Cricetulus griseus: one gene and its partners. The protein of the gene in region 1 binds, or shares a complex with, the protein of each later gene. Links are inferred from orthologs where the notes say so. Each region holds a gene or a part of one and is shown on either strand. Other genes may lie near its edges. The genes, in order: Lmna, Zmpste24 and Banf1.

Region 1 (7,297 bases):
TTCAAGACCAGCCTGATCTACAAGAGCTAGTTCCAGGACAGCCTCCAAAGCTATACAGAAAAAAAAAGTCTCCAAAAACCAAAGAGACAGAGTCTCTTCTATATAGCCCTGGTTGTTGGAACTTGCTATATATAACAGGCTGGCCTCAAACTTAGAATCTTCCACCTGCCTCCACCTCTGGAATACTGAGATTAGAGGCACACAACACTGTATCTAGCTCACTCATTTCTTTAAAAGGGTTTGTTTAATTAGGGTATATGGGGGGTGCATTTTCAAAGCAGCCGCTCTTGGAGACCTGAAGATGGGTTAGATGCCCTAAGGTTGGAGTTATAGGCAGTTGTGAGCCAACAGATAAGAGTGCTGGGAACCAAACTCGGGTCCTCTGCAAAAGCCGTACAAGTTCTTACCTTCTGAGTCATCTTTTCAGCCCTCAATCACTTTTGACTGAATGCCCAGAATGATGTTGTTTCGAGACAGGGTTTCTCTGTGGCTCTAGAGGCTGTCCTGGAACTAGCTCTTGTAGACCAGGCTGGTCTCAAACTCACAGAGATCCACCTGCCTCTGCCTCCTGACATTTTGTTTTGGAAACAGGTCTCATGTATCCCAGGCTAGTAGTCTCAAACTCCCCAGACTTTTCCTTCCTTCCTTTTTTTAAAAATATTTATTTATTTATTTAGTGACAGAGTCTCTAGATGACCTGGAACTCACTATGTAGACCAGGCTGGCCTTGAGCTTGCAGCAGTCCTCCTGCCCCTGCTTCCTAGGTGTTGAAATTACAGGTGTGAGCCACACCTGGCTTTTCTAACCCTGAGAATATCTCAACCTACCAAGGCAATCGAAGCATCCAGAGTGCTGGGACTACAGGTTTGGCCTTTTGCAAGAGAAGTTCTGCTGCTCCTACCCAGCTACTCTGCCCTCTATCTGTGTTCCTGTGTCTTCTGGTTCACACATGAGGGCCCCATTTAGAAGGTGCTGGACCAGTGCTGGGCAGATGAAGGTTAGGAAGGAAAAGCCTCTCCTTCGGCCCACATGTGCCCGTCTTCACAGATGCCCCTTCACATCTTCCCGTGGCCCTAGACAAGGGTGAGGCTGGGTAGCACTGAATATGCAGGGACCTGTGTGTGCATGTGTGTGCATGTGTGTGCCCCTCAAAACACACGTGACACCCAACAAAGAGAGACAGCACAGCATCCAGGATGGAAACAGCTAGTGTATTGATTTGGAGGGAGAGCAGAGGTGCAGATGGGAAATGGGGTGAAGGGCTCCTTAGTGTTTACCGTAACCACCAATCATCACACCCTCTACTCTACTCTACTCACAGGCCTCCCTTGTGGCAGGGCCGCAGCCGGCTCTCGCCCTTTGCAGCAGCCTACTTTCTCACTCTTCCCACTTGATTTTGCCTTCCAGTGACTGGACAGGGCCCACCAGGCTCTAAAGCTGGGAAAAGGCAGGCTCAGACTGGCCTTCCCTCCTCCTCCCACCTCACTCCCATCTTTGTCTAAATAAAATATAGAAAAAGCAAGCATGGCAGGGGTGCCTGGGAGAATCCACTGACCCCAGGCTAGGGAGGGGCAGGAAGAGTATAAGGCAGGCAGAGGAGGCTCAGCCAAGTGCAGTGGAACCAGGAGGGGCTTGACCTCTCTCAGCCATCCCCTCTGCACCCCCTTTCTCTGCAGCCGGCGTGGCAGTGGGCCAGCTGTCTGGAGGAGGCTGATGAAGAGAACTCCACGCCTGCCTCTCAGGCACCATGTCACAGGGTGCTGGGATAAGCGCAAGGCCAAGGCAGCAGGACAAAAACTAGCCGTTATAAAAGCAGTCCTTTCCCTGGGCTCCTTGGAGAAAGAAGCCCATTGATTTTAAGGCAGATACAGGGAAAGTATGGGAAGGACTTAGGATTGAGATAGAGACTTTTTTTTTTGCTTGTGTTTTTCCTTCAGTATAAAACCACTGTAGAAAATAACTTCTCTTAGAAAAAAAAATAGAAGAAGAAGAAAAAAAACCCAAAGGCAGGAAATAAATTTTTTCTTTGGCTTCAGGCCTGCTCCCATTAGGTGCAGAGCAGGAGGTGGGCATGAGGTGAGGTGGGAGCAGGTGGCCTCTGGCCCCACCCCTGCCTGGCAGGTCCCAGATTACATGATGCTGCAGTTCTGGGAGCTCTAAGAGAGAAGAGAATGCAGAGATGTGAGCGAGCACAGTGGCTGGCCCATCCTTTCCCTCCCTGACCCCAAAGGGGTGTGTGTCCCCCCAACCCTCACCCTCTGGCTCTGGCCCTGCCCTCAAGTCTGGGGTTCAGACAGGAGGGGCAGGGTGTAAGAGGGGCTACAAGGAGGAGGGTCCCACTCCCGTGGCCTGCCCTGCCCTGCTGCTTAGTGAGCAGTGTCCTGCTGTAGGGGTAGATGCAGATCGATGATGACTTACCTGGGTCCGGGGACTGGAGTTGCCCAGGAGGTAGGAGCGGGTGACTAGGCTGTCCCCGAAGCTGCCACCCCCACTGCCCCCCACACTGCGGTAGCTTCGAGTGACTGTGACACTGGAGGCAGAAGAGCCAGAGGAGATGGATCCGCCCACCTGGGCTCCTGAGCCACTGGCAGCCTTGTCGGCAGGCTGCCCACAAGTCCCACACAGCACGGTGCGTGAGCGCAGGTTGTACTCAGCGGGGTCCCCCGAGCTGCTGCAGTGGGAGCCCTGGGAAGGGAGACAAGGCTCAGGAGGGACAGTGCGTCTGGGACTGACTGCTTAGGACCAGGCTCTGGGCTCCTATAGTTTCCTGGCCATTGGGCAGGAAGATGACCTCTGTACCCAGACAGCTGGAGTGAATAGGGACTTGGGAGGCCTGTGGCTAGGAGGAAGGACATGACAGGGGAAAATGGCCAGGAAGGCTTCGAGATGGAGAGGTGTGGCTTTCACACTGTCCTGAATCCTAGGATCTCACAGGGAAATTGGGAGGGAGATCAGAGATGGAGATATTTAATTTGTGAGGGAGGGGACAGGAATGAGAGAAATCACTGTTGCCGGGAAATAAGGGGAACGTGAGAAGAAGCATGCAGCAGATGAAGAAGAGACAGCAGAGGAATGCATGCAGGGAGGGGAGAGGCAGGGCTGGGGCCATCTCTGTCCTCCCATCCCCTTCCCAGGAGACAAATCCAGATCCTTGTCCACTGCCACCGTGGAACAGTCCTTGGCACCAGAAAGTTCCCACTCCCTTCCTTACCAGACACCTGGGTTCCCTGTTCAAGGTAGAGGGAGGAGAGAGAAGAAAGGCCAGGGCAGCAAGTGGCATTCCAAAACATTCTTTAATGAAAAGACCTTTGGCATAGAGGTGGGGGAGCTGCCCTAGGCTGGTAGGGCTACCCATGTGGGCTGGGTCTCAGCGGCGGCCGCCACTCACGTGGTGGTGATGGAGCAGTTCATCTCCATCCTCATCCTCATCGTCCTCAACCATGGTCACTGAGCGCACCAGCTTGCGCATGGCCACTTCCTATGGGAACATAGGCCCAGGCCCAAGAGTCAGGGGGTGGGGGCCATGCAGCCTGTCTACCCATAGTACCTTCCCAGAACCCTCTATAACCACCTAGAACCTTCCCAGGCTCTGCCCTAACCGGCTGTTTGCTCTGACCTCTAACACTGGAGTCAAGGAGTGTGCTTGTGCACACATATAGAAAGGACACCCCTGGGAGATCAGCTCTCTTTAGGCCGAGTCTGCAGCTAACAACATTCACTGGCTGATTTCCACCCATTACCCTGCTGGGGAGACTTCTAGCTTGCTTACTGGGTGGGCACTTGGAACGTGATTCAAGGTTGCATTGGGTTGAGGGCAGCTGACTCTCATTATGGCCACCAGGGGGAGCCTGGTCCAGGCTGCAACATACTCACTTCTCCAGTGGAGTTGATGAGAGCTGTACGAAGGCTGTTCCCACAGCCCCAGGTGTTCTGTGCCTTCCACACCAAGTCAGTAGGGGGGCTATGGGTGGCCCCAGCTCCTGCAGCCCAGATCTGGGAAAAGACAGTTTAAGAAGTGTGTTTATTCTTAACGCTCCTGTCCAGAGGCCAACTTCTCCACTCCAGAATCCCAAACACCCTTCCACTCACCGTCACCACCTGCCCAGCCTTTAGAGTGAACTTTGGTGGGAAGCGATATGTCATCAAGGGGTCATCACCATTCTGACGCTTGATCTGCCAGTTTCCCATGGACTGGTCCTGCCAGTGAGGGAGGGAGGAGAACGGGAGACTCAACCCGGTACTTTTTTTTTTTTCTATTTTTTCATTTAAATTAGAAACAAGCTTGTTTTACATGTCAATCCCAGTTCCTTCTAACTCCCCTGCCCCCCACTAACTCCCTAACCCATCCCCTTTCTGCTCCCCGGGGAGGATGAGGCCTTCCATGGGGGGGGGGGGAGAATCTTCAAAGTCTGTCTTCAACCTGGTACTTATCTCACAAAAGAGCCGGGGTAGGCCAGATGCCATAGTGTACACCTGTAGTCCCAGCTACTACAGATTTTGGTACTGAGGCATGGGGACAGGGGGAATAGCTTGATCCAAAAAATAAAAAATAAAAAATAACAACAACAACAAAAACCAGGTCTGCCACCACCATCTCTGGTATTCAAACCTACTAGCCTCTCTACCCTATCCCTCAAGGGTCCTACTGTGGCTGTGTGAACATGTATACTGTGCCACACACACTGGTATCTTCCATCTTCCCAACAATTTTAGAGATGTAGGGACTGTCACACTCCAAATTCCCAGAGAGATGGATGCTCCATGAGAACCAATGTCGCCCAGCTATTGAATGCAAGACTCTGATCCTGAGGCCCACCTCGTTGGACTTGTTGCGCAGCCGCACAAACTTTCCCTCCTCATCTACTTCCTCCACAGCCACCCGCCCGCTAGTGCGAGCGTGCTGTGAGAAGCTGCTCCGGCTCTCAGTGGACTCCAGCTTGCGCTTTTTGGTGACGCTGCCCCCACCCTGCGATTGGGATGAGTGAGAAGAGGTGCGGCCACGGCTGCGCTGCGAGGTAGGGCTGGGGGACAGGCGTAGCCTGGGAAGGTGGAGACAAGGTGGGGGGTTAGTCATGGTAGTTGCAGTCCAGAGGCTCCTGCCAACGTCTTTCGACCCCTCCTGGCTCACCTCTCCTCCTCGCCCTCCAGCAGCTTTCTATAGGCATGGATCTCCATGTCCAGGGCCAGCTTGATGTCCAGCAACTCCTGATACTCATCGAGCTGCTGCTGCATCCTCGCCCGCATCTCGGCCATCTCTCGCTCTTTTTCAGCCAGCAGCCGCCGGCTAGTATCCCGCTCTCGAGCCAGGGAGTCCTCCAGGTCACGCAGCTTTGCCTCCTTGGCTGCCAACTGGGATGGGTGGGAAAGGCAAGGTGTGATGAGCGCCCAAGGGCCAAAAGTAATGAAGAAGGGGGGGCAGGATCTGTGGGCTCTCCTTAGAAACACCATGGCAAGCCAGGTGGTGGTGCCGCATGCCTTTAATCCCAGCACACGGGAGGCAGAGGCAGGAGGATCTCTGTGAGTTTGAGGCCAGCCTGGTCTACACAGTGAGTTCCAGGACAGCCAAGGTTACACAAAGATCCTGTCTCGAAAGAAAAAAAAAAGGGGGGGGGCACCATGGCCTTATCTAGTAACCAGGAAGCTCTATCTAACATCTAACTGAAACCTCTCCTTCTGAGGCTAAACCCCCTCCCCCCCATCTCCTTTTGCCACAAATAGCACAGCCATCTAAAATAATATTACTTGCAATATCTCACACAGCAGTGTTATGACAGATCTGTGAATTGGGGAGGACAAGAGTGTTCACCATTTTCCATTCTTCTCTTTCTTCTTATATTTTAAGCATTATTTTTTATTTGATTTTGGTTTGGGTTTTTGTTGTTGTTTTTTATTTTTGTTTTTTTACTAGGTTAGTCTTGAACTCATAGAGATCCACCTCTCTATGCCTCCAAGTGCTGGAATTAAAATTGTGCACCACCACTGCCTGGCTTTTCTGTTTTTGAGACAGGGTCTCATGTAGTCTGGGCTGGTCTCAAACTTGCTATAAAGCTGAGGATGACCTTGAATCCCTGATATTACAGCCTGGGTTGAAAGGCAGGTACCACCATGCCAGGTTCTATGTGGTGCTGGGGATAGAACCAGGGCTGCATGCATGATAAGCAAGCATTCTACCAACTAAGCCACTAGCCCAGCCCAAGGTAATCTCCATTTTCAAATACGGAGAAAAAAGAAGCACCTGTTTACCACGCCCGAGGCCTCCTCGGGTTTAATCCCCAGCACACACAGTAAACAGGAAAAACCTTTCATACAAAAGGTAAAAAAGAGGCTCTGAGGACCAAGGCAAGCTGAAGGGGGATGCTGGAACACAGTAGACATGAGACTCCAAACCATAGTGTGTAGTCCTGCGGTCCCTTTTCCCCTCTACTCCCCCTCTTCACAGTGGGCTTCTGCAGGATCTGCTTAGCCCAGCGCCCTGGTGGAAAGGGTAAACGGGGCGTCACCTGCTTCTGGAGCTGGCTGAGCTGGGCTGAGAGGCTGTCGATGCGGATTCGGGACTGCTGGAGCTCCTCATGGGCGGCCCCCACCAGGTTGCTGTTTCTCTCAGCAGACTGCCTGGCATTATCCAGCTGTATGGAGCACACAGTATTAGAACAGGAACCTGGAGGGATAGAGCTAGTGACCTGAGGATGGTGTCACTGGCTCAATCTCCCTGCTCCCATCTACCCACCCCCAAGGCACACCCAGCATGGATAGGACAGGCATTGAGGCAGCACCAGGGAGAGGACAGGGTGAGGCCAGCACCTTGGCAGAGTATGTCTTCTCTAGCTCCTTCTTGTACTGCTCCACCTGGTCCTCATGCTGGGCCCTCAGATCCTGCAAGGCATCGGCCAGCCGGCTCTCAAACTCACGCTGCTTCCCGTTATCAATCTCCACGAGCCGGGTCTCATGCCGGCGCTTGGTCTCACGCAGCTCCTAAAAGGGTTCAAGACACAGGAATGTACATCAGAATGGCTCCTTAGAAGCTGAGACCCAGAAGTCCGTGCTCCCTGCCTTGCCTTAACCCTACAGGCCACAGGCAGCCCTCCATCAGCCTGGGATCTAGGTACACGCAGACTTCAGGCAGGGGAGTTTGGCCTGAGCCCTGAGCCCAATGTCCAGCTGTTGCTAATCAGCTCTCGGCCTGTACAGCATGGTGCTCACCTCACTATAGATGTTCTTCTGGAAGTCCAGTTCCTCCTTCAGAGTCTGCAGCCTGTTCTCAGCATCCACTCGCCGAAGCATCTCATCCTGAAGTTGC
Region 2 (6,647 bases), on another chromosome or scaffold:
ATTTCCACTAACACACACACACACAGAGGAAATGACAGTTAACAGAAAGGACACTACAGCTAGATGGTTCAGCTGCCCCCAGAGATTCAACATGCTTCCTCCAGGTCATACCTTGCAATGCCTCCCCAACTACCACTCTCCGGAGCACCAAGGTTACTTGCCACAAGGATGAGAAGGTCCCATCGCCAACACACTTCTTTTTTTTTAAGATTTATTTATTTTTTTATACATACAGTGTTCTGCCTGCATTATGCTTGCACACCAGAAGAGGGCACCAAATCTCATTATAGATGGTTGTAAACTACCATGTGGTTGCTGGGATTTGAACTCATGACCTCTGGAAGAGCAGCCAGTCCTCATTAACCTCTGAGCCAACTCTCCAGCCCCCACCAACCCACTTCTAATACAGAAACCAGGGCAATCCTGTAAAACTAAGCCACATCATGTCCTAAGCCTTCATGCCTAACACTTCCCACACAACCAAGTAAACTTTTAAAACCAGGCGTGGCACAGCTCGCCTTTGATCCCAGAACTGGGGGTGGGGGGTGGGGGTGGGGAGGCAGAGGTAGGCAGATCACTGTGAGTTTGAGTCCGGCCAGAGAAACCCTGACTCAAAAAACAAAAACCAAAAAAATCTTAAAACCCCTCCATCTCAAAGCATTGGGTTCAAACCCAGGGCCTTGTGCATCCTAGGCAAGTACTCTAATTGAGCCACATCCCCAGCCCCCAAAGTCTGAATTCTCACAGCAGCAACAAGGCGCAGTAAAATCTGACCTCCCTGTTTCACTTCGCAACCCCTCTAGCACCCTTCCCACCCTCTGGCCTTCTGGTATTACCTGTTTCAAGGCTTTTATACCCATAGTTTCCCTTTTGAATGATGCCTCCAGTTACCTACAATGCCCTGTCACTGGGCTCCATTATCGATTTTTCTATGCACACATTGTTAGTATTCAGGCATTTGTACTGGCCTGTCCTTGGAGTCCTGACCGGATATGCCCTCAGCTGCGGCCACTAAGAGCACCACCTGTACACATTCACTGCGTTCCCTTTTAAAAGGGCCCTGCCCAGTGGACCTCTGTGAGTTCAAGGCCAGCCTGGTCTCCAGCGCGAGTGCCAGGATAGGCTCCAAAGCTACACAGAGAAACCCTGTCTCGAAAACAAACAAACAAACAAACAAACAAACCAAAACAATCCCTTTCCCCTATATATAAAAAAAAAAAAACACCCTCTGTTTGAACTCTGCCACATGGTGTCTTTTTCATTGGAACTGCTTTTTTAAAAAATTACAACACATATACCTATGATAAAGTTTAGCTTCTAAATTAATCATAGTGAGAGATTAACAGTAACTAATAAAACAGTTATGACAACACATTGTATGTAGGGTTTGGACTACGGCTCAACTTATAGAGTACTTCGACTCTGGGTTCAATTTCCTGCATCACATAAACATGGTGGCACATGCTGGCCACCATGTAATGGCACCTGCAATTCCAGCACTCAGGAGGTAGAGTCAAGATCAAGTTCAAGGTCATCCTCAACTACCAGATAGGTTTGAGACCAACCTGGGATGCAGGAGACCGTATCCAAGAAAGTTTCTCTTTAACAACCTGACAAATGTTACTAGTATTTCTGTAATGGCCAGAAAGGAAAACTACAGGAAGAAGGGACTAGTGTATCTTACTGTTGGCTATTATTGAGGATCAGAGGTGAGCTCTGACTCACACAGGGCAGTTATCTGTATAGGCAATCCTGGTTTCTTAGGCTTTAGAATACACTTGGGTATTTCCTGATTAATCTGGATGATACAGAGGATCCAAAGGGTTACAACAATAAAAACCAAGCCTAAGAGAATCTGAGCTTACAATAATGGAGATAGGGTAATTCCAAGGCTGCTTCTGAGGGAGTGTCAGCAAGAACTGGTGATCTATATCGGGAAAGGAACAGAGGCAGCATGAGCACTGGTATCACTCAGACTCCGGGCTGTTCACAGGATCCACAGACAGCACTGTTCCTGTAGGCAATCAACACATCTGGGTGACGTGACGCGAAAATCACAACACAAAACCCAACATAAGGACATAAATCTGCATTGGCAATTTTTAATGTCTCACTTGTGCAGAACTGAAATGTATATTTAAAGGCACAGAAGGAAGGAAAGGCAATTATCTGAGCATGAAGTCATAGGGAAGGATGCTGGAGAGAAACCGTGGGCTGCTCTGCTTAGCTGTAGGACATAAACAATGCAGTGCTGAACTAGAGCTCTGAGGCTATTATGGTCTGAGGGAAGGCACCACTCACTCACATGTCATAGTGTATAGTCATCACACGATGGAGTGAATGCCCAGGACATGGACAGGCATTTGAAGTGGTCAAGCACACACCTCTTACCACTGGAAATCTTTCATGAGGCTATTTTTGAAAGGAAATATCTGCCTGCCTACCAAGGCTTATAATTTAAAAAATATAATCTGGTCTAATTATATCTTATGAATAAAAACATCACAAAAATGAAAGCAGAGACTCTGTCCTTGAAAAAAGATAACGTGTACTTTTTCCTGTAATAAGAGAATCACGAATATCCCACCTTTACATCTTTTCAGATGTCATCTCTTCTTTTTCTCCTATTCTGCCATATTTAACATCGGGAATGTGTACAACATGGCAACTTCTGCTAAGTGAAAGGATGTACTGTCAGTTGCTGGGGGAAACAAGACTGACAAAAGGCTACTTTACCTCTAACAAGGCCAGGTGGAAGGTAAGGTAAAGAGCTGAAACTGACTTTCTTTTCCCTTTCTCTTTTCTTTGTTCAAACAGGGTCTCATTATGTAGCCCTTGCTGACCTCAGCTCACAGATCCATCTGCCTTTGCCTCAAGCACTGGGATTAAAGGTAAGTGCTACCAAACCTGGCTTAAAATTAAGACTTTCTTAAAAGATTTCTAATTTCAAGCACTATTAATTCCTAAGCTGGGTGTGGTGGCTCACATCTGCAATCCCAGCATTTGGAAGGCCGAGGAAGGAGGCCTGGTAAGAGAGTTCTAGGCAACCCTAGGCTAAAGAATAAACTTGGGGCCAATAAGGGCTAAAATGAGACCTTATCTCAAAAAAAGAAGGAAGTGAGGGGAGGAAGGAGGGAGGGAAGAAGAAGGGAGAGGATTCCTGATTGGTGTGTAGCAAGAAAGGAACAGAAAGCTTTGTGACTACAACAGTACAGTGTAGACTAACAACGTCCATTTCAGTAGCATTAGCCTCACTAATTTGTACTTTTCTTTCTTATTTAAAACACTGATTGGCCAAGTTAAATCATAACATCATGAAGGTAAAAACAAACTCCATGTAGGTACAAGCACAATGATTGGGGGCCATCCTTTCTGATTCTGTCTTGAAGAAACTACCTGGAGGTGATGTTTCCTCCCTAAACACACAGCCTGAATACCCTATACGCAGACTCCACAGTAAGGAAATAAAACGAGCTGTGCATTGCCTTAAGTAATTTTACAAACTGATGGTAAACCAATGTTAGATAAGACTATGTTTTAAAAATATTAAGCCTCAAATTTCTATCCAGTATTTTAAGAAATGGATTATTACGATCATTTTTGAAATGAGATAGTAAATGTATTTAAATCTGGACTTTTATGTACTTAATCATTTTTCTTAAAAAATTAAAAACATCAAGAGCTGGAACATGCTGCCAGGACAGATATAACCGGAAGTGTGTCCAGACACCAAGCGGCTCAGTCTTGCTTTGTGTCTTTCAAAGCCTGAAGCCTCTCTAGTAGTGGAGGGTGTGAATAGTGCCACGTTGAAAACAACCAGTCAGAAACTGGGAATCCCAGGTTATCCTTGTTTAGCTTGATCAAAGCAGAGTATAAGTCTTTAGCCATCCCAAGTTTCTTGGCAAAAGCATCGGCCTGAAACTCAAATCTGCGGCTCAGGACTGTCAGGCAGAAAGACAAAACCTGCAGAAGAAAAGAAAAGGGTTTAGCCACCTGGCACCTTCATTGTCACCTAAGTCTTCATGAGCCAGGCTGTGGAGGAAGGCTGGTCAGGACATGAGAAAGGCAAGGCAAGCCAAACCTATTAGGAGGCTATGACTTGGGGATGGGGGTGTGTGGAATGTCAAACTGAGCTTCCCCCACTTCAAGCAAACAGACCAGAAATGGGTATATACCCTTATTAGAAAGGAGCTTCTGGGAAAGTGTCATGTGCAAAGGCTTCATATTCTTTAGGAACTTCTCCCTGCTACTGTACAGATCAGGATGTGAATTCAGCCCAGCGTTCCAGAATCACTTCTCTGTTCACTCTCTCTCTCTCTCTCTCTCTCTCTCTCTCTCTCTCTCTCTCTCTCTCTCTCTCTCTCTCTCTCTCTCTTCTGCCCCCACATCCCAAATGCTAGGACCACAGGAATCCACAACTACATCTGGAGGGTCTTTTTCAAATACTTATTTTGTGCTTGTGTTTTGCCTGGTGCCCAAACCGGTCAGAAGAGGGCTTCAAGACTTCTTTGAACTGGAGTTACAGATGGCTATGAGTCACCATGTGGTTGCTGGGAACTAAACCCAGGGCCTCTGCAAGGGCAGCCAGTGCTCTTAACCACTAAGCCACCTCTCCAGTCCCACATGATCATTTTTAATATTCTTAATCATTTATCTATCTTTAATAAGTCTTCACTAAGATTATTCTAAAATATATGACTGAGCCTCTGACAATAGTTTTAAATCTTGTTTTGTTATTGACGTGGTCTCTCCCTGTAGCTGGCCTCACACTCAAAACTGAATGTTTTCTAAGTGGCTATGGTAATATCTCCAGAGTAAGTTCACAATTTCTAAAGACCACATGAGAGGAAAATTCTTCATGGAAAAATATAAACTCTGAGGGATTAAAAGGTCTTTATAATAGCACTTGGGAGGCAGAGGCAGGTGGAGCTCTGAGTTGGGGGCTAGCCTAGTCTACAGAGTGAGTCCAGGACAGCCAGGGCTACACAGAGAAACCCTGAACTGAAAACCAAAGTCTTTGCATACACAAGCATAGTAGATTGAATGACATGATAAATATACATATACATATACATATACATATACATATACACATTGGGGGCTGGGAGATAGCTCCGTGGTAAAGTACTTGCTGTGCAAGCCTGAGGACCCAACTTTGAATTCACAGCCAGCACTCATGGACAAGCCAAGTGTACATCAGCAGCCCCAGTGCTAGGGAGTGGGGACCTCAGGGGCTTGCTAGGCAGCCAGGTTCAGTGACACAGGAAGATCCCTGATATCAATTTCTGGCCTTGGAGAGCAACAGAGGAAGTTAAACTTTGGTCTCCACATGGGCAAGCATACTTATGTATACAACACACATATACATTCTCTCTGTCTCTCTCTCTCCCTCCGTCCCTCCCCCCCTTTAGTAAATATGAATTTCCTAATAAAGTGTGTGAGTCTCTGTTACCATCCAATTCTGCATGAATGTCTTTCAAATCTTGAATGTACATTTTGGTTTGGCTATCTGAGTCATACGTGGTGATGTGTAGCTGTCACTCTAGCTACCAAAGAGACTCAGGCAGGAGTATGTGGCTGTCTCAAGGAGGGAAAGAAGGAAAGGGGAGAGGAGACAACCCCTCCTCCAACCTTTATTCAGGCTCTAGTAACCTTATCTCAGCACTCGCCTAGCACTTGTGAGGCCCTGTGTTCAGCTTTCAAAACCATAAAAACAAAACAAAACAGGTGGTGGTGATGCTTGCCTGTAACCCCGGCACGCAGGAGGCAGAAGCAGGCAGATCTCTGTAGGCCAGCCTGGTCTACAGAACAAGCTCCAGGACAGCCGGGGATACACAGTAGAACTCTGCCTTGAAAAACAAAACAACGAAAATCCCTCATTCACATCCCTCACCTCACCTCTATTTTAAGAACACCAGTCAATCAGTCTTTGATTTTTGCTATAATGCATAAATAAAATATAAGCAAATTAGTAACCACTTGTTTGTTTTTCAAGACAGGGTTTCTTTGTATAGTCTTGGCTGTCTTGGAACTAGCTCTGTAGACCAGGTTAGCTTCGAAATCACAGAGATCCACCTGCCTCTGCCTCCAGAGTGCTGGAATTAAGACTGTGCAACTCCACATGAATTAAGATTGTGCAAGCCCAGAATAACCACCTGTTTTGCTGTAGGTTTCTAATTTCTTCTTTCTTTCTTTCTTTCTTTCTTTCTTTCTTTCTTTCTTTCTTTCTTTCTTTCTTTCTTTCTTTCCGTTCCTTCATTCCTTCGTTCTTTGTTTCTTATTGAGGCCGGGTTTCTCTGCATAGCTCTAGCTATTCTGGAACTCAATCTATAGACCAGGCTGGCCTTGAACTCATAGAGATCCAGCTGCCTCTTCCTCCCTGAGTGCTGGGATGAAAAATACGTATTTTACTTTTAATTTTGTGTATGTATGTGGGGTGGGTGTGGGGGGCATGAGTACAGGTGCCTGCAGATGCTGGATGTACCTGATCTAAGTTCTAGGAATTGAACTCTGGGTGCTCTGGAAGAGCAGCACTAACTTGTAACCACTGAGCTAGCCCTCCAATTTTTTTCTTTTTCTTGAAAGGGCAATCCTAGGAAAGTATCTCTCCTATTTTAAGCCCCGTAAATGCTGATACTGCATCCAAG
Region 3 (7,254 bases), on another chromosome or scaffold:
ACGAATAAGTAACATCTTCTGGGAAAACCAAATCTATAATCCAGTCTCAAAAAATGAGGACCATCAACTAAACAGCCAGGAACCCTGAGAGGTTTCTGAAAATCCAAGAGCCCCAAAGCCCGATGTGGTGGCATATGCCTGGTATTTAGGAGGCTGAGGCAGAGACGATAAGTCTGAGGACAGACTAGGTTACATGAGACCCTGACTCAAGAAATAAAAAACAAGAGGGGCTTCTGAAGAAGAGAGCAGATAGGGAATCCCAGTCGAAGAGAATACACTAAGGGTCACCTCTTACCCACCACATTTGGTTTCAATAAGGAACCAACAGCTCTACTAGCATCACTGACACACAGTGAGCTCACACTTCATAACAGCTGACTCACTAAGCCAGTGGTTCATGACCTTCCTAATGCTTTGACCCCTTAACACAGTTCCTCTTGTGGCGGTGACCAAACACAAAATTATTTGTTACTCAGTAACTGTAATTTTGCTACTGTTATGAATCATGATGTAAATGTCTGATATGCAGGATATCTGATATGCAACCCCCCAAAAGGGCCGAGACCCCCAGATGAGAACTGTTGCACTAAGCAATTGCATAAGCATTAGCTTTTTTACTTTGCATAATCCTGTCTCTTAGGTAAACTCTTGTTTTTGAGAAAAGATTTCATGTAGCTCAGGCTGGCTTTTTTTGGGGGGGGTTTCCTTTCTTTTTGGGGGGTTTTTCAAAACAACGTTTCTCTGTCTCAATTTGGAGGCTGTCCTGGAACTAGCTCTTGTAGACCAGGCTGGTCTCGAACTCACAGATATCCATCAGGCTGGCTTTGAACCTGATTCATGTACACAATGCTGGTTCAAACCCCTGCTTCCACCTTGTAATTGCCGGAATTACAGGTATATACTACCACACCCAGTGGTGTGAAGATATTAAATACTGTACCTAAAGTCACTTGCCTATTTAGTAGCAAAGCCAGTATTTTAACTTGGCCTTTAAGCTATACCCATAACTATCCACTCTACTGTGTATGTTAGAGTTCTCAACAGAAAAGCAGGATCACCTTTCTCCTTGAGGCACCAAGGTATGAAATTGTATTTTTGTCTTCCCTGGGCTGGGGCTTGCTCCTCACCTGTTCATACTGTTTTGTTTCTCAGCTACCTCAGAGAAGGCCTCAGGCCTGTGACAAAGAGAAGATCCAGGTCAGAGAGTGAAGAGAAACCTTTTAGCAAAATAGCTGTTTCCAAATGTCCTCTTGGGATGGCATAACCTCACCACCCCTACCCCATTCCATAGCTAAGATGTTACCACACCTAGAAGCTAGAAATTATCCTACCAGTGGCCCTCCTTCTGCAGAGAACGGACATGGTTCTTGCAGAGCACAAAAGATATCTCAGCCTTCACTTTCTCTCCCTCTTCAATAGGGTCAACAATGAGGAAGTCCCCTGTAAGTGACAAAAGATAAAGGCATTCCCATGTGAAGGAGAAAATCAAGAATCAAGGTCATGGTTCTGTACTGTACAGGGATGCCTCTAACCTCTTTTGATCCAGATGTTCTTTCGGTATTTGGAGGGCATGCTCACCAGGAAGCGCTGCCCTTGTGCCGTCTCTACCTCATGCAGATTGTTGCCGGGAGTCCTCAGGACCTGGTGCAGGAAAGATCAAGAATTAGGCACATCACCAGTTAGATCAAGCACACACTGACCTGCACTGAGCCCTTCCCACATCCCAGGGGTCCGGTGGGCGTAGAGAAAAGCTGAGACCCATGCTCTCACCTTCACTATCTGCTGTTGGTCTGAGGGCACCATGTGCTCTCCCAGCACCTCCTGCACCACGTGTTTTCTCTTGGTGGCCTGAGACATGCTGGGTTCTGTCCAGGGTTGTTAGGACGCAGACAACGTCAGCTCTTCCAGAGTTATGTGGATGGCAGTCTTAGAAGCCAGGACTGCTCTCAGGAGAAGCAGCCTTATAAGAGAAGTGCCACCTTGCCCTGTTAAAAACAAGAGCTTTACAGGACTGGCGACTTGCTGCTCTTGTAGAGAATCTAGGTATGGTTCCCAGCACTCACAGAAGCTACAACTGACCCTACCTCCAACACCCTCATTTTGAGACATACATGCAGGTAAAAACACTGATAAACATAAAAAAAAAAATCACTAAAAAACAAGGCACGTGTTTAGCCAGATGCTGGTGTATGCCTTTATTCCTAGCACTTGGTATGCAGAGGCATGCAGATATTTGTTGCGTTCTAGGTCAGCCTGGTCTACATAGTGAAACCCTGTCTCAAAAATGAAGCAAACATGACGTTTAAGGGCCGGAGAGATGTCTCAGGACCCAGCACCCACATCAGTTGGTTCACAACCATCTCTAACTCCAATTCTAGGGGAATCCAATGCCCTCTTCTGGCCACCAAGGACACCTGTAACACCCACACACAGTAAAAGAAACCAGGAAACATGTCTTATAGTCTTACTTGGAAGAAAGGGGGATGGCTCAAGCCTTAAATCTCAAGACTCTAATCCCAAACCACAGAGGTAGACGAAAGCATATGGAGGCCAGTCTGGTCTACGTAGCGAGATATCCTCTCAATAACTAACAAAAAAAATGTAAATAAGTACTGACGTGACGATGAAACCATACGCACCTCCCAGGCCGATCATTCTGACAACCTTTTGTTTGTTTTTTCCGAAACAGGATTTCTCTGTGTAGCTTTGGAGCCTATCCTGGAACTAGCTCTTGTAGACCAGGGTGGTCTCGAACTCACAGAGATCTGACTACATCTGCCTCCCGAGTGCTGGGATTAAATGCTTACGCCACCACCGCCCGGGCTGACAACGTCTTTGGGGAAGTTTGAGTAAACTACTTTCCTCCACATGCTTTAACACCCCCAAGTGTAGGTCAGCCATACAACAGATGCTCGTCCTCCTAACACTCATGGTGTAGACTGACTCGGCCACCACCGCAGCGCTTCAAGCCGAAAAACCCTTCGAGAAAAGAGCCGCCCACAGCACTCACCCGCTCGGCGTTACACAAGCAAGCTACGTTTTCCAGGTAGACGCTGAACGCAGCTCGTCTACGACTCACTTCAAGACGGAGTCAACAAAAGCAAAGAAATGCGACTGGCAGGTGGTCACGACGGTCGCGCCGGTTTGGACGCCTGGCCTCAGACCACCGGTGTTCCCAGCTGCCGTCAGCCGGCTTCAGATAGACCTGACTCTGAGGAACCCGCGAGAATTGCACTTCCGGGGCTCTCAGTAGCCCTCCGGATGCCCCGCCCCTTCTTTGTCCGTTCCTTTAGTCTTCCCTCGACCAAGTCAGGCCACCTAAGTCTTTAAGTTCCAGGTGCTGGGCAAGAAAAAGATAACAGTATTCTCCTCGGAGGCCTCGGTCTCATAGATGGGAAGCGGGGCCGGAGAAACACGACCATAGAAAGCAGCGCGGCTTCCTGTGAGGGACCGGAAAACAGCGACCTCTGTGGGCTCCGCAGTTAGCGGTTGCGCCTCAACTCTATGGCTCTCTGTGGCTAGACGTGCCCAATTCGGGTATTTTTTTTTTAAAGGCGGCTCCTGACACGACCCGGAAGCGGAAGTTGAAGAACGTTCTAGCAACTTGAGGTATCGGCTGGAGCTGCCGAGTGGCGGGAGGAGCCGTTACGAGAGCCGGAGCTGCCGGTGAGCGTGAGCGGCGAAGTAAGGCTCCGGCTAGGCGGCGGAGGCGGGAGGGAGAGGAGCGCCCGTGGCTGAGGCGCGTCTCTGCAGCGGACCAGCCTGGCCTTGCGGGAGGGGCGGTGCGCGGAGCGTGGGAGCCGCGGCGCGTGCGAGCCGCGGCGCGTGGAGGAGGCGGGGCGGCGCGTCCGGGGCGGGGCCTGGGAGCCGCGAGGCGTGGGCTCCGGCGGGCTGCGGGAGCCGGTGCGCGGCGCCTGTTGGCCTGTGGAGGGCGGCGAGGGTAACGAGCCCCTCTTTTTGCTGCTATTTCTACCACGTGGTAGCTCCGGTCGGGGTCAGTGTTTGCCTGGCCAAGGTCACCAAGAGTGACAGCTTCAGGGCGGGCCCTGGCTGCTGAGGCTGTGAGTCTTTCTCTACGTGCGCCACTTGTTAGTGCAAGCTCATTACCAAATCCCAGGGCCCACAGAAAGTGGAGATTTCAGGATGTAATAGCGGGGGAAAGACTTTCCCTGGCCCCCAATTTTCTCAGGTGTGAGATGAGGGGGAATCGAGGAAGCAGCCACAATAGCTGACCTAGGAGGTTGCCCTTGGGAGTTGTGGTCTTCAGCCCTAACCTGCCTTTTTTTGGGATTCCCAGGTTAAACCTGATCAAGATGACAACCTCCCAAAAGCACCGTGACTTCGTGGCAGAGCCCATGGGGGAAAAGCCAGTGGGGAGCCTGGCCGGGATTGGTGAAGTCCTGGGCAAGAAGCTGGAGGAAAGGGGCTTTGACAAGGTGTGGGGTGGCCACAGATGCCAGGGAGGGGTAGGAGTGAAAGTTGGCAACAGATGATTCCAAGCAAAAAAATTGGGAGTTAGGAAAAGTAGGGGTACGGGGAGGGCACGGACAGTGGTAGATAATTTGAAGTGGTTTGGGGGCATCTGGGGAGGCAAAGTCATTTTTGTTGTTGTTTTGGAGACAGGATCTCTGTCTCACAAGTGCTGGGATTAAAGGTGTGCCCTACTGTGTCCTACCCTTTGAGTGTTTTCAATGCCACAAAGGTGATGAAACTAGGTATAGTGGGTCCTCCCTATGACCCCAGCACTTGTGAGATTGAGGCAAGCAGATTCTCATCTAGTTTAATGCCAGTCTAGTCAACAAAGCAAGACCCTGTCTTAAACAAAACAACCAAAACAAAATGGCCTTGCCCTCTCAAGTGCTTATCAGCTGACTTGCCTAGCTTCAGAGATCTGGCCCCTTCAGGTTGCTCTTTGCTCACAAGGCACTTAGCTGTATGCCCTTCCTGTTTTATAGGCTTATGTGGTCCTTGGCCAGTTTCTGGTGCTAAAGAAAGATGAAGACCTCTTCAGAGAATGGCTGAAGGACACGTGTGGTGCCAATGCCAAGCAGTCCCGGGACTGTTTTGGGTGCCTTCGAGAATGGTGTGATGCCTTCTTGTAATGTACTCTGGGGACTCCTCAGCCCCCCAGCCACAATATTGAGTCTCCAGAGTCTGAAGCCGGGTGGGGCTCCTCCCTGTCCTCCGTGAAGGGAAAGATTACTGTTGTCACACTCACCTCCTATGTACTCCAGGGTCTTTTGGGAGTTCTCTCCCCTCAGCGTTTCAACCTTTTTAGGATTCTTGCCCTTGCATGCCTTTCTCCTCTCCCCCTGCAGTTCCATGGCAACAGTTAACTTTCCCCAATGGATTCCTAGCCCTTTTCTCCCTCCATTCACGATCTGTTGGATGTCCTTTGGCTCTTTTTTTTGTTTTTTTCTTTTTTGTCGAAAATAGTTACCGCCCTTACAAAGATTTTTAGACTAATAAAGTCAGTGGCCTTCATGATTGGTGTTGTGTGTTGGAAAGCAGGTGCGCTGGGAGTTATGTCTTCCCCAGGGACTGAACATATCTTATCAGTGCAGACCGAAACTGGTGGCTTCTTTTTCCCCTCCCAAGAGGGAACCACCCTAGCCATGTGGGACTTGGGCAGGTGCCCTAGTGTCCCAATCCTAAATAATGTGGGACAGACTGTGGGTTGATTTCTTCCTGGGAGCCAGGTAGGCTGTAGGCTTCTAGATGTCAACATTTGATTCAGGCAGCACCTGGTGGAAAAGTTAGTAGGAGTCAGGTACCAGGAAGAGGGTGGGTGGGATGTGGGTAAGAGTTCACCTGACAGTCATCATGTCATGTGCTCTTGTAGCCTCTGGGAAGAATGGGTGGTACTTTTGCTGTTTGCCCAGCTATCATAGACATGAAAGGAAATAGTTAAACTTGAAAATTAAATTCCAGTCCTGTTGTTTTCAAGCTCATATCGTGAACTGGCCTGAAACTAACATCTTTGTAAGCATTTTAATTATTTCAGAGAGGTGAAGACCTTTGGCCCTCTGTCAGGGGCCTGAAATATCAATTATGGTATTTCAGATACAGGCCTCAAACTCTATCCCAGGAGCTCGAATCTCACATGTCTTTTAGATGTCCAACTGGTTGCTAGCAGATGGTTTGGCCTCAGTGGAGAATGTCTCCTAGTTTGCATAACAACAGACATAGGCCCCGGGTGGGCCCACACCTATTCTGAGGGCTACTATACAGTGCCTAGGGACTGGTGAAAGGCTAGTGAGGACTGAGGATGTACAGTTTTAGGGGTGCCTCTAGGATTAAAGGAAATATCATCTTTATACATGATAATAGATGTCTTCTGATATCACTCCCGTGGTTGGAAAGCTATTTAAGAGGATGTTTGAATAAATGGTGGACTCCAGTCTCCAGCATGGACTGAGAGCCCTTCTGAGATGACAAGATGTCTGTGTCTCATCCTTTGGTAATTAGCTTCCCCAGGTCCACACTCTCCCACTCAGGGAAGGAGCCAGGGCTGTTAGGATGGTTCCGATTACAGCCCCAAAGACATCAGTCCGGAATAGATGGCCTCTCTAGCGTTGGGACTCATACAGGCTGGGCCTTGGCAGCCCTCAGACTGTAATTTGGGAGACTGTGTCCTATGTCATGTTACCCATGCTCTCTAAGCCTCAGTTTCCTCATGTGGATGAGGGTTGTGGGGACAAGGTACAATGCTGTTTAACACTCAGCCTGCTTGGTGTTCATTTCTTCAACTAAAAGTGTCATTGAGCAGTGACGTATAGAAACGAAATGCTTTTCTGCATGTTTAATGTCCAGGAAAGCAAGGATGACAGTACAAGAGTGGGCACGGCAAGAGAAAATTTCCATGGTCTCACAGTGAAGAGAATGTTCATAAGATGGTCTGCATTAATACTAGAAACTTAATCTAAAACCCGAGTAAAGGAATGATCACAGAGTGGGTGGGAGTATTTTTATTAATAAAATCCTCACCCAGAACACATACTACAGCTGCTGTCAAGAAAATGTCTGGGGCCAGGCACTGGTGGCTTACACCTTTAATCCCAGCAGTCGGGAGGCAGAGGCAGGTGGATCTCTGTGAGTTCAAGACCAGCCTGGTCTACAAGGGCTAGTTCCAGGACAGCCTCCAAAGCCACAGAGAAACCCTGTCTTGAACAACCAAAAAAGAAAAAAATGTCTGGGATATGGCTCAGTTGGTAGTGTGGTGGTAACCACCTCTGAAATCATAGCTGGGAGGTA

What was found.
Region 2: the proteins of Lmna (region 1) and Zmpste24 are in contact, whole or in part, in a crystal structure (PDB 2YPT), measured with the Homo sapiens proteins. The link is inferred for Cricetulus griseus from reciprocal best matches to the Homo sapiens genes LMNA and ZMPSTE24. Residues at the interface, in NP_001393912.1 of Homo sapiens: Cys661, Ser662, Ile663, Met664; in NP_005848.2 of Homo sapiens: Ser264, Asn265, Ala266, Tyr267, Phe268, Val332, His335, His339, Glu415, Leu438, Asn439, Asn442, His459, Arg465.
Region 3: the proteins of Lmna (region 1) and Banf1 are in contact, whole or in part, in a crystal structure (PDB 6GHD), measured with the Homo sapiens proteins. The link is inferred for Cricetulus griseus from reciprocal best matches to the Homo sapiens genes LMNA and BANF1. Residues at the interface, in NP_001393912.1 of Homo sapiens: Ser431, Gln432, His433, Ala434, Arg435, Met540, Lys542; in NP_001137457.1 of Homo sapiens: Val11, Ala12, Glu13, Pro14, Glu83, Asp86, Ala87, Phe88.

The regions. Positions count from the first base shown.
Region 1 is NW_023276806.1:66,023,836-66,031,132, reverse strand, and holds the end of Lmna (lamin), read right to left. Parts: coding exon 7,201-7,297; intron 6,973-7,200; coding exon 6,802-6,972; intron 6,627-6,801; coding exon 6,501-6,626; intron 5,350-6,500; coding exon 5,129-5,349; intron 5,040-5,128; coding exon 4,817-5,039; intron 4,198-4,816; coding exon 4,090-4,197; intron 3,994-4,089; coding exon 3,874-3,993; intron 3,479-3,873; coding exon 3,389-3,478; intron 2,686-3,388; coding exon 2,419-2,685; intron 2,157-2,418; coding exon 2,130-2,156; downstream 1-2,129.
Region 2 is NC_048595.1:31,100,413-31,107,059, reverse strand, and holds the end of Zmpste24 (CAAX prenyl protease 1 homolog), read right to left. Parts: intron 3,964-6,647; coding exon 3,739-3,963; 3' UTR 2,075-3,738; downstream 1-2,074. UniProt on the Homo sapiens protein: Transmembrane metalloprotease whose catalytic activity is critical for processing lamin A/LMNA on the inner nuclear membrane and clearing clogged translocons on the endoplasmic reticulum.
Region 3 is NC_048596.1:53,963,100-53,970,353, forward strand, and holds Banf1 (barrier-to-autointegration factor), read left to right. Parts: upstream 1-3,546; 5' UTR 3,547-3,684; intron 3,685-4,297; 5' UTR 4,298-4,313; coding exon 4,314-4,436; intron 4,437-4,955; coding exon 4,956-5,102; 3' UTR 5,103-5,484; downstream 5,485-7,254. Other genes in the region: probable RNA-binding protein EIF1AD, read right to left, coding at 1,128-1,175, 1,332-1,440, 1,533-1,641, 1,771-1,857. UniProt on the Homo sapiens protein: Non-specific DNA-binding protein that plays key roles in mitotic nuclear reassembly, chromatin organization, DNA damage response, gene expression and intrinsic immunity against foreign DNA.